Kluyveromyces lactis: one gene and its partners. The protein of the gene in region 1 interacts with the protein of each later gene in a biochemical or structural test. Links are inferred from orthologs where the notes say so. Each region holds a gene or a part of one and is shown in the gene's direction. Other genes may lie near its edges.

Region 1 (4,098 bases):
TTTCGAACACTGCGAACCTCGATGATCGTTATGTTTCCTTTTCGGTATGAGTGACTCACGCCAGTTAGATCTCAATTTGATCTTCCCAAAATCGCCCATTTCCCACTGATTTAACCCAAAAACATGAGTAAGATCTTCCCAGTTTATTTCCTCATTACAATGGTTCATACAGGTGAGTAGAACCTTCCAAAGGTAAAACGAACACATATCATTGTATCTGTACCTGCAGAAATGAGCAAAGTGAACCAAAAAATCACGCAGACATCGCACTGATTCGCCCATCTTAAATGGACTCGCTAAAAAGAATACCTGCTTCTTTCTGGTCTTGGCTTGCTAGTCATTCAAACCTAAAATGAACACTATTAACAGAGCAAAAACAAGAAGCGCGCCCCTTGATATAACGTGCATCCATTTATCTATTTACTATTTACATTTTTAAGCTTGTCTTACTTTCAGTTTTTCGTTTCAGCAAGTATTCGAGGCATTTGCCACCTTTAAACATTAGTACGAAGAGCACAAAAAAGAATATCTTAGGATACCTGATGTAAAATCACAATGGAGTTAGCATCAGTTGGGTAGTGTCTATGGAGTGTATAGAGGGACTATTATTGTAAATATTTTGATGTTTGACCGTGGTCACATGACCGAATATCAGTCACGTGACTTACTTTTGAACCAAAAGTCAGGGATTTATAGGGCTGACGACTTTGAAACAGGCGAGCTTCTTTGGATCGAGACGTTGAACTGCAGCTGGAATCCTAACTTAATCGTAGTTTTTTTTATTTATATAACTTCGCTAAATTGTGTGCTGAGAACAACGTTGGATTACAAATCGAAGACATGAAAGAAATGCTTTATTTAGATTATTTTGACAACCTATTTGAAGAAGAAGGTATTGATGGTCAGTGTACCACTTGCTACCAAACATAACCTGCTTATTAAATGATTCAATTGTGTTTATGGAACCGAAATGATTATTTCTAGGGTACTTCTTACACTTTGCTTCGGTCAAATTCCACATACATTGAGAGGATTCATTTTTATCTTCTGAAAGATTCAATAAAAAAAAAAGGAATACGATATCAGAAAAGAGTTTTGACTTTCCTTGCCAATGCACAGTTGACAAAGGTTCAATACAGGTTGATTTGTCGTATAAACAACTGATCATCAACATAGCAATATCAGAACAATCCCTAAGGTAATATGATTAACGATACTGACCCAGAGTCGTTTTTGCGGCAACATGTTGGACGAACCTTAGGCTGCATTCATTCTCGGCCTGAATTCAAAGATATAAAGGGATCTGCAGAGAGAGCAGTTATGGATAAAGAGCTCAAGAGTTTCATATATGGGTATTATTACTATATGATTTCAGACAGTGGTAGGCTTCTTCCGCATATGTTTACTGCTACAAATGAGCGTGAATTCCCCAAGAATGTCGACCAAGCAATGGAAATCAAGCTGAGTTCGAAACCCTGGTATAAGATCGATGAGAATGGCGGGCATTCGAAATTCAACCACGCTGGCAGAATATGTGGTGCGAAGTTTAGAGTAGGCGAACCGATCTACCGTTGTAAGGAGTGTTCATTTGATGATACTTGTGTGCTATGTGTAAACTGTTTCAATCCAAAGGATCACGTTGGTCATCACGTATATACGTCGATCTGCACAGAATTCAATAACGGTATATGTGATTGTGGTGACAAGGAGGCATGGAACCATGAATTGAACTGTAAAGGTGCTGAAGATAATGGTCGTTTGGAAGACGAGTTTGACGACCATGATGGCAAGATTTCTAAGATGCTAGAAAGCGTCCTAATAGAATTATTTGATCATTTCATCGATGTCTTCAACCAAAACATTGAGCCATTAACAACAATTCAAAAACCACTCATTGCGAAACTTAGATACTTCATCCAGAACGGGAAATATAATGAACAAGCTGACATGCTGAGGCGATTGGCATATAGAAATCAATACATGGACGAAGAGGAGTCCCAGCAACAAACGCCATCTACATCGTTAGATCCCTTGAGTACACTTAAAGATTATGCTATTTTGGTATACAACGATGAATTTCATAACTATTCGCAGGCTTCTGCTGCCATTAGACAAGGTGGGCCTGATAACAAACATATTGATTTATTGACTGCGAAGATCGATTCTGAGGGGAGATCATTGTTGAGATGCAGCGCTGATATCGCATCTTTAATGGGAGGATTCTTTTCCGTTCAAAGTAACGGGTTGAGCTGCACAATAACTCAATGGTATGAATATCTACATCAAGAAGCCTGTAAGTATAGCATAATGTGGATTAATGATTGTTTGAATATCCCAAACTCTACTTTCCAAAGCCTTTTCAGAAATGCTATAGGCAAAGTTCTATGTTCCAAGTACGAACCTTTTTATCAGTCTATCGATATGACCTCAGTTGTTAGAGATTACTTTTCAGATAGTTACCTGAGTGATGATCCATATTTGTATGCGGATCATTCGGTTTTGGGTGAAGGTGTCAAGATCCCTCTTGGAAGACATAAATCCCTAGATCCTGGAGACATATCTGCTATTTCCCCCATCTTGAATAAAGTAATAGCAGAAGATCATCATGAATATACTAATTCTAGGTTGCAATACGTGTTGTTCCTCGAAAACAGGTACTGGAAGAAGCTTAGAAAAATAGTTCAGGATCTAATTATACCAACACTAGCATCAAGTGCTGTGCACAAACCAATGTTTACTGATCAGCTAGTCGAAATTTTCCCACACATGACACGAAGTGTGACCTTCATGGATCGTGAACCTCAACTTACATCATTAAGGGAGAGTGTCGTTCAGTTATTCACCTGCCCAACTACGGCTTACAGTATTTTTCACAGTGGACATTTCAACTACGTCATATGGTCAGTGATTGACGTTTTTGTTGACTTTTCTACCATGGATGAGGGCACGTTGGTTTGGCAACGGGTTCAGAGAAGTAACCCTTCTAAAAGCTACAGTATATCATTCAAACAAGGATTGTATGCTGTAGAAACTTTACTCAGTAAAATCACTGACCCTAATCTATTGTTGAAACCGGGAGAGTTTATCATGATTGTAACACTATGTAAACTCTTCAACGGCGCATGGAAGATTAAAAGAAAGGAAGGAGAGCATGTTTTAAGGGAAGACCAGCATTTTATTCCATATTTGGAGTATACGACATCAGTCTATAGCATCATTCAGACTTTTGATAAAGTTTTGCAGCAATCAAAGGATCACATTGACCAGCGATTGCTTATTGGGGCCATCAACTTATTGGATTCATTTTTGGGACATAGAAACTTGTCATACAAATTATACAAAGACTTTGAAATCATAAAATTCCAAATCAGCAAAGAACGAGTTTCATTTATGAATCCCGTTCATACTTTGTTTTCTTTCCTTGTGCAGCATGTTCCCTTACAGGTGTCAATTCAAGTTTTATCTCAATCCAAAGACTATCTAGTTATTTCGGATTTTGCTTTGAGATCTGTCGTCTTATGTTCGCAAATCGATATAGGATTTTGGGTTAGAAATGGTATGTCAGTTCTTCACCAGTCAGCATATTACAAGAACAATCCTGAAATGAGCTCCTATAGCAGAGACATACAACTTAATCAATTGGCGTTTCTAATTGAAAAAAACGATTTTCAAAGAGTCATCTATAACATGTTAGATAGGTGGGAATTACTTGACTGGTTTGATGGAAGTGTTCCCTCGACAGAGACAGTGTACGATGATAAAATATCGTCGATTATTCAACAATTCGTTGCATTCCTATATCAGATATTGGTGGAAAGAGACTTTTATAAAAAGTTCGATACCCTGGAAGAAACACAATTGTACAACATTAAGAATGCCATTATTTATAAACTATACGCTGAACCACTATCATACACTGACTTATTGAACGATATACCCGATTACCTTACTGAAAGTGTTTCCCAATTTGATACAGTTCTCGAAGAAGTTTCTACGTACATTGAGCCCAAAGGGCTCGAAGATAATGGTGTTTTCAAACTAAAGAAGGAACTCTACAAGAGAATAGATTCCCTGCGGTTACTGAATATGGGAAATGAT
Region 2 (3,673 bases), about 1.3 Mb from region 1:
TAAGGGAGAAACATATCTAGATGAAGCTTGAGATGTTAATGCTTCAGCAGGTTCAGGAATATTTTGATCAACAACCGTTGATTTACCGTACCACCAGGACGTCACGTTCTGATACATTTTCCCAAGCAAACCTGGTCCTTCTACATCTGCAATCTTACGAGAATATGTATGCTTTTCCAAAGGCTTCAAGATTAATGCAGATCTTGGAGTAAGCTCCAGAGCTTTCAAAGATAGTAATTCTTGTGATTCTGTGAAAGTTTCACGTGGAATACTTCGATGGAACTGGTACGGACCATCCTTATCTGTCCTATTGGCATCCACCCAAGTCCTTACATCGTTTAAAGTTTGAGACGAATCGAAATCGTTTTTCAATGTCTTACCGTCTGTTAATCTTATAAGCAAGGTGCACACTGCTGCGTTTATTATATCTCTGTTTTTAATATTATCGTGAATGGGTACAGCCAATACTTCATTGATGTGTTCCTTAGTATGATTTGGAGATGATGACGATAATCTTCGTTGCTTCATTTCTTCACGGTCCGCTTTCATCAATCTAACAATACGTTCTCTTTCCTGTTGTTCTGTCAACTGGTGCTTCTTGGCCTTTATTTGGTACTCCATCAATTTCGCATTTTGTGACAGACAGCTACCGGACCTGGCGCCGGTATCACCAGCGGCACCAACGGTATTGGATGCATCAACGGCATCCGTTTCAGAGATTCTCCTCTTGCTTTTACCAACTGCCCGGATCAACCTAGTAGCAAATCCGTCCATGTCCAACTGATCTGGATTTATCATCTCCACTATTTGTCCCTTAGCAATACAATAAACGCTAGGAACCTTCACATCCGGGAATATTTGCTCAAAGTAACCCATTTCCCTGCTTCCAGCAGCTAAACGTAACCAAACGCACGAATCCTTCAACTGCTCCCCTACAAGTGGTGTAAACCACGACTCAAACCACGAATTATCTCCGCCCGTAGTATAAACCAATAACGCCTTGTTCTCTCGCAATGATTCTTGTACCGCATTTTCCACAGAGGAAACAAAATGCGTATCCAGTGTATCCATCGTATTCATATTTGCCTAATCTTACACTTACCACTCCTAAAAAGCTCACCACTGCTTCGTTGCTTCTATCAACAGTATCGGATTTGTTTATTGTTCACTGATTAAACTATAAACGTAGTAAAACCCCTTTCAATGTACGTTTTTATAAATGCAAAGAAATGACAGAAACTAATGACTATCGCAGATCTGATCAGAAAAGAAAAACAATAGTTTTATGATGATACTTATGGGGAAAACGGGATTTATATACGAGTCTCCGACGTGTTATCCTAGGTAAATCACTTGGGGTTCAGTTAGGACGGTTGGATGATATTTTGAGCACATCAGTTGCGTAAATATTGAATGTGCGTTTGGCTGATATAGCTGGAGATTTCTGAGATACGAACCGACAAGAACAAAAAAGAAGTAAAAGAAGAACACTTCGATTGATGTATTGATGAGCTTTTCACAGATAGCTCAGCTCCCTCATATTGATGGATTACAACTAGGAAGAACAATTGGGAAGGGCTCCTTTGCCTTTGTGAAGAGAGCTAGTTTAGAAGTTGATCCGTCCACTGTAATTGCTGTCAAATTCATACATCTTCCTTCATGTGAGAAACAAGGTATGAGTCAGGAAGATGTGTTGAGGGAAGTTAAGTTACATTCTAGATGCTCTAATTTTGTTAATGTGCTAAAGGTTATAGATTGCAATCTTTCTGATCCGTTTCTTTGGATAGCCATGGAACTGGCTGAAGGTGGTGATCTTTTCGATAAAATCGAACCTGACATTGGAGTCGACTCGGAAGTCGCCCAATTCTATTATAAACAACTTATAAAAGCTATAAGTTATCTGCATGATACCTGTGGTGTTGCCCATAGGGATATCAAGCCGGAAAATATCCTATTGGATAAAGATGGGAATTTAAAACTTGCAGATTTTGGGCTAGCATCGCTGTTCAAGAGAAAAGATGGATCAAAACGTATTTCTAGAGATCAACGAGGAAGTCTTCCCTACATGGCACCGGAAATAATATACTGTGATGGGTACTATGCTGATATGACAGATATTTGGTCCATTGGTGTTCTATTATTCGTTTTGTTGACTGGAGAAACGCCTTGGGAACTTCCTCACGAGGACGATGAAACGTTTAGAAACTTTATTAAAGGCGAAGGAAAGCTAGATCAGGGATCTTGGCTGAAGATAGATTTCGTTGAATTGAATCTCTTGAGAAAAATATTACAACCAGATCCAGAGAAAAGAGCTTCTTTGGATACTTTACGGAAACATACATGGTATCAAACAAATCCGAAATTTGCAGATGAAAATGGCCTTTGTAAAAATCCTTCTTTGCTTGCAGAAAAATTACTATCAAAGCTTAAAGTTTCTCTATCAGATGCCGATTATTTATCTTCTACGCAGGAAGTGTTTGCCAATCAACATGCAAAGATGTCGTTCACCCAACCTCTCAATCGTGAGCTTGCACATATAGATAGTTTACCGGCTAATTTGCGAAACGGCTACTCTGCCACTCAAAAGGTTACATGCAGCACGAATTTTTCAAGTGAAAGGGAATTAATGACGCAGGAGCCATTTTCAACCAAGAGAATCCAAGAAGATCTCGCTTCCTTGCAGTTTAATATTAATGATATGAAGCTAATGCCTAACTTTTCATCTGACAGGCTAACTAAATTTTTCTCTACTGATGATATTAGTGTAATCCTCTCAGACCTAGAGAATGCTTTGGTTGCATATGGTGTTAGAGTGAGTAGAAATCTTCACGATAATTTCTTGGAACTGAAACGGCAGATCGGAGAGAGTAACCCCTATCCTGTGTCTATACAGCTCAAAACATATGATAGAAATAAGCTCCCACTTTCAGGATCTCTAGTCATCATGCAGTTGGAAGGTGATCTGAAATCCGTTACTTTTGAAAGGAAACGGGGTGACCCGTTAGAATGGAGACGCTTTTTCAAAAGAATAACTGTATTCTGTAGAGATATTGTTTACGTAAATTGATCATTCCGAGAAATATTTTTGTTATGGATAGGAAAAATCTGACTGCAACATGTCCTTAATCTTCTAAGTTTAACATAAAATTATACATTACCTTTCTCAAAAGCTTCTTATCGTTGTTGCTTAAAGACTTCACATCATCAATATCGACATCATTTAAACTTGAAACAATTCGCATAATTTTTTTTGTATGATGCTGTCCTTCACAATTTGCACTTGCAACATCACCAGCTGAGTTCATCAGTTCTAAAGACCGCTTCCCTGATATATAGGTATCGCCTTTCGAAGCAAGATCCTCTTCGAGTTTGATAACATCAGTAAAGAAAGGATTAAAAATTGGTATCTTCAGAGGCAGCCCAGATGGGGAGTTAACGCTTGTCACTGTATCAAGGTTCTTAGATATCTCATCATTATTTGCAACACCTGGCAGACATTCGCTGACTTCAGTGCTGCTATCTTTAATAGAAGGCGTTTGTTTTTCCATTTCCCCTGATGAAACTTGTGACACTGCATTCTGCGTTGTTTCTGCTTCAAGCTTTTCGGATTGTACACTAGCAGCCATTTTTACTGGTTCATTGTCATTAGAATTTTGTATAGGCTCAACGACTT
Region 3 (2,725 bases), on another chromosome or scaffold:
CGTCTTGCAATTCTTCCGGGAAACTTTCAGGCTTCGGCACACTAAAATGTTGTGCCTTACTCAAATTCTTCAATAATGCTCCAAACTCGTGACGCCAACTCTTATAAAACGCCGCATTCTGTATATCATGGAGATCGTGTTCGTTCTGCGGTACGTTGTCTAAAAGCTTTTGCAACATCTTGTCATTAACCTCAACTCCCGTTTCCAACGATTTCTTATAGATATGGAACGAGTAAAATAAATAAAATATACCCATCTTTACCATGTATGAGTTGGCTGATTGTAGACCTTTCCCCTCGGGATTAGAATCCAAAAATGGATCTGAAATAGTCTCAATGTCGGCGGCAGCATTATTACTTTCTCCTATCACTTCTGACCTTCGTTGTTCCATAGCTTGCTTCTTTAGTTGACTGCTCTCTCTCCAGGAGACCTCAGAGCGGGGTCTCTTCGGTACCGCAAAATTTTGCTTATCATCGTAAACTGCATCAAGGCTATTCTCCACCCCAAATCCGTTTTCCAACGAATCTATTATAGTTGCTTGTCTTGACATCGTTGATACGGTAGAATATATCACCATCCCTGTTAACGTAACTACATTAGTCGTAACAAAAAACGCATTACCTGGTGCATTGAAATATTTCCAAAGCGTCTCTGAATACCTCTGTTGACCCTTTTGTAGACGTGGGGTACTTTGAAACATCTTGTTCTTCCATTGTAGCGTTATCCTCCGACTAGTATGAAACCTTCGTGCCATTGAACGAAAACAGCAACGAAGATGCATTTTAAATTGGAAAAACACCACTCTAAGCTTGACCCATCAACTTCGAAACAGAAACAATGAGGGAAAACTAATCTGTGTCGTATGTATTCTCCCTGATCAACCCTTTTCAAATTATTAATTCTCTTGTGTGTCTTGTTACCGGCTTCTTTCATGAATTCGCAGGGTCAGCTCATTTCCATATATCGTTTGATTTTAACTTAGTATTCAATTTTTAATTTCGCTGAAATTCTTTCTCCTTGGTGGTAAATAGTATGGAGATATATGGATGGAATCTGCGATGCGCTACAAATTTGACACATGATTTGACGAAATGAAAAGATTGTTGGGTTGAATGGCTGCACCCGTGAATAAAACGTAATCTAATAATCTCATCTTATTGTAGTAGGTGCTTCACCGGGAGTCACATCGATATGAATATGCTACAGTAGTTCGGATCTCTATAACTTATTTAAAAACGAGAGAGTATCACGTGATGTATATCATTTCTCACATCATATCTACATCTTGAAACTACAGCAAGACTGGCAGGCGTGCTAATGCTTACAATAGGAAACAGTGTGGTTCGCAGATAGGGGCGAAGGAATGTGTGGTGTATGCAACCTTAAGGAGGAAGAACTCCTTTTTCTCGAACGGTCAACCTCCGATGCTGTACATCCAGGTATATATAACTCCAATATCCCAAAAAAAAAAAGAATGGCTGCAACACGTCAGTAAAAGGGCAGGACAAGAGTAAAGAAAGCAAGCTTGGTGCACTTCACAAAGCACATTATGTCCCATTTATTAGTGTACGATTTCATGGAGCACGATCTAGCAAATGTGCTGATCGTGGTCAAACCTTCGACCAAAAGTCTTGTATTCGTTTCGCTGTCAGGAACGAAACCAAAACTATTAGGCGATGCTAAGAAATTTGTATCCAAAGTGAACTCCTTGTCAAAGAATAAAGGATCTATTTATACCTTAAAGAATAAATCCATCTTAAAATCAGACGATGTGGCATGGTTAGAACAGTTGAGCTTTGATTTTTTACAGATACTGGCTGGTGGTATTGACTCTCAAACGAACATCAAATGTGAGTATCTCCTTGGAACAGAATTTCAAAAAAAGGTTTGGGAGACTACAAAGACTATCAAGGCCGGTGCTACGATTTCTTATCAGCAATTAGCCGTTCTGCTAGGGAATCCAAAAGCTGTGAGAGCCATTGGTTCTGCTCTAGCGAAAAACAACATTGCTGTCGTGATTCCGTGCCATAGAATCATCGGTTCTAAGGGTAAACTGACAGGATTCAGATGGGGAATTGAACTAAAAGAATCACTACTAAGGCAGGAACAAGCAATTTAGTGGACTGATAGCTTTTGAATTTTTTTTTTCTTATTTGCAACCAACCGTGTTTGAAACGGCACACAAATCCCAAATGTGTTCAAGGATTACTTGACCCAGTCGTTACGGTTCTCTTCTGTGTGTGTTTCAATAAAATGTCTTTTTGTCTCTATTTCTTTTGTCTTTATTTGTCTTTCGAGAGGGTTGCGTCTGCAAGAAAAAATATGGAAATCCTGGAGAGTTGAATCATTATCGATCTGCGAGGAGTATGATAGTGGGGTGCAGCAGATATAATTAACATACTACTTATCGGATGGAGAGGGGGATCTTTTCAATAAAGACATTCAATTGTGCTGCACGGCTGATCTCACAACTTGGGACATTATACTGTGTGAGTTTTTTTTGTTCTTTTTGTTCTTTTAATTCTTCAACTTGCTTCGACGACATGAAGGGTTTGACTTTTACTTCTGCTGGTTTTTGTTTGCAGTACATTCTCTACAAACACGATTCTGTCTCGAAATAAACCATCCACTCGTAAATGTAAACCTTAAACTCTATCCCATGTTCTTGCCATAGAAAGCTAGTTTCTTACCGTTTCTTCTCTTACGGTATCTTTTGTTTCTGGTC

What was found. The genes of interacting proteins can lie anywhere in the genome.
Region 2: of the proteins of UBR1 (region 1) and CHK1, one has a biochemical effect on the other in vitro, tested with the Saccharomyces cerevisiae proteins (3 studies listed by BioGRID). The link is inferred for Kluyveromyces lactis from reciprocal best matches to the Saccharomyces cerevisiae genes UBR1 and CHK1.
Region 3: of the proteins of UBR1 (region 1) and MGT1, one has a biochemical effect on the other in vitro, tested with the Saccharomyces cerevisiae proteins (3 studies listed by BioGRID, with this or other methods). The link is inferred for Kluyveromyces lactis from reciprocal best matches to the Saccharomyces cerevisiae genes UBR1 and MGT1.

Annotation. Positions count from the first base shown.
Region 1 is NC_006042.1:1,413,399-1,417,496, reverse strand, and holds the start of UBR1 (E3 ubiquitin-protein ligase UBR1), read left to right. Parts: upstream 1-1,203; coding exon 1,204-4,098. Other genes in the region: putative ubiquitin-protein ligase UBR2, read right to left, coding at 1-282. UniProt on the Saccharomyces cerevisiae protein: Ubiquitin ligase protein which is a component of the N-end rule pathway. Recognizes and binds to proteins bearing specific N-terminal residues that are destabilizing according to the N-end rule, leading to their ubiquitination and subsequent degradation.
Region 2 is NC_006042.1:119,395-123,067, reverse strand, and holds CHK1 (serine/threonine protein kinase CHK1), read left to right. Parts: upstream 1-1,507; coding exon 1,508-3,067; downstream 3,068-3,673. Other genes in the region: KLLA0_F01298g (UBX domain-containing protein), read right to left, coding at 1-1,080; DNA-binding protein RIF1, read right to left, coding at 3,123-3,673. UniProt on the Saccharomyces cerevisiae protein: Serine/threonine-protein kinase which is required for checkpoint-mediated cell cycle arrest and activation of DNA repair in response to the presence of DNA damage or unreplicated DNA.
Region 3 is NC_006041.1:168,216-170,940, forward strand, and holds MGT1 (methylated-DNA--protein-cysteine methyltransferase), read left to right. Parts: upstream 1-1,549; coding exon 1,550-2,119; downstream 2,120-2,725. Other genes in the region: PET494 (Pet494p), read right to left, coding at 1-781. UniProt on the Saccharomyces cerevisiae protein: Involved in the cellular defense against the biological effects of O6-methylguanine (O6-MeG) and O4-methylthymine (O4-MeT) in DNA. Repairs the methylated nucleobase in DNA by stoichiometrically transferring the methyl group to a cysteine residue in the enzyme.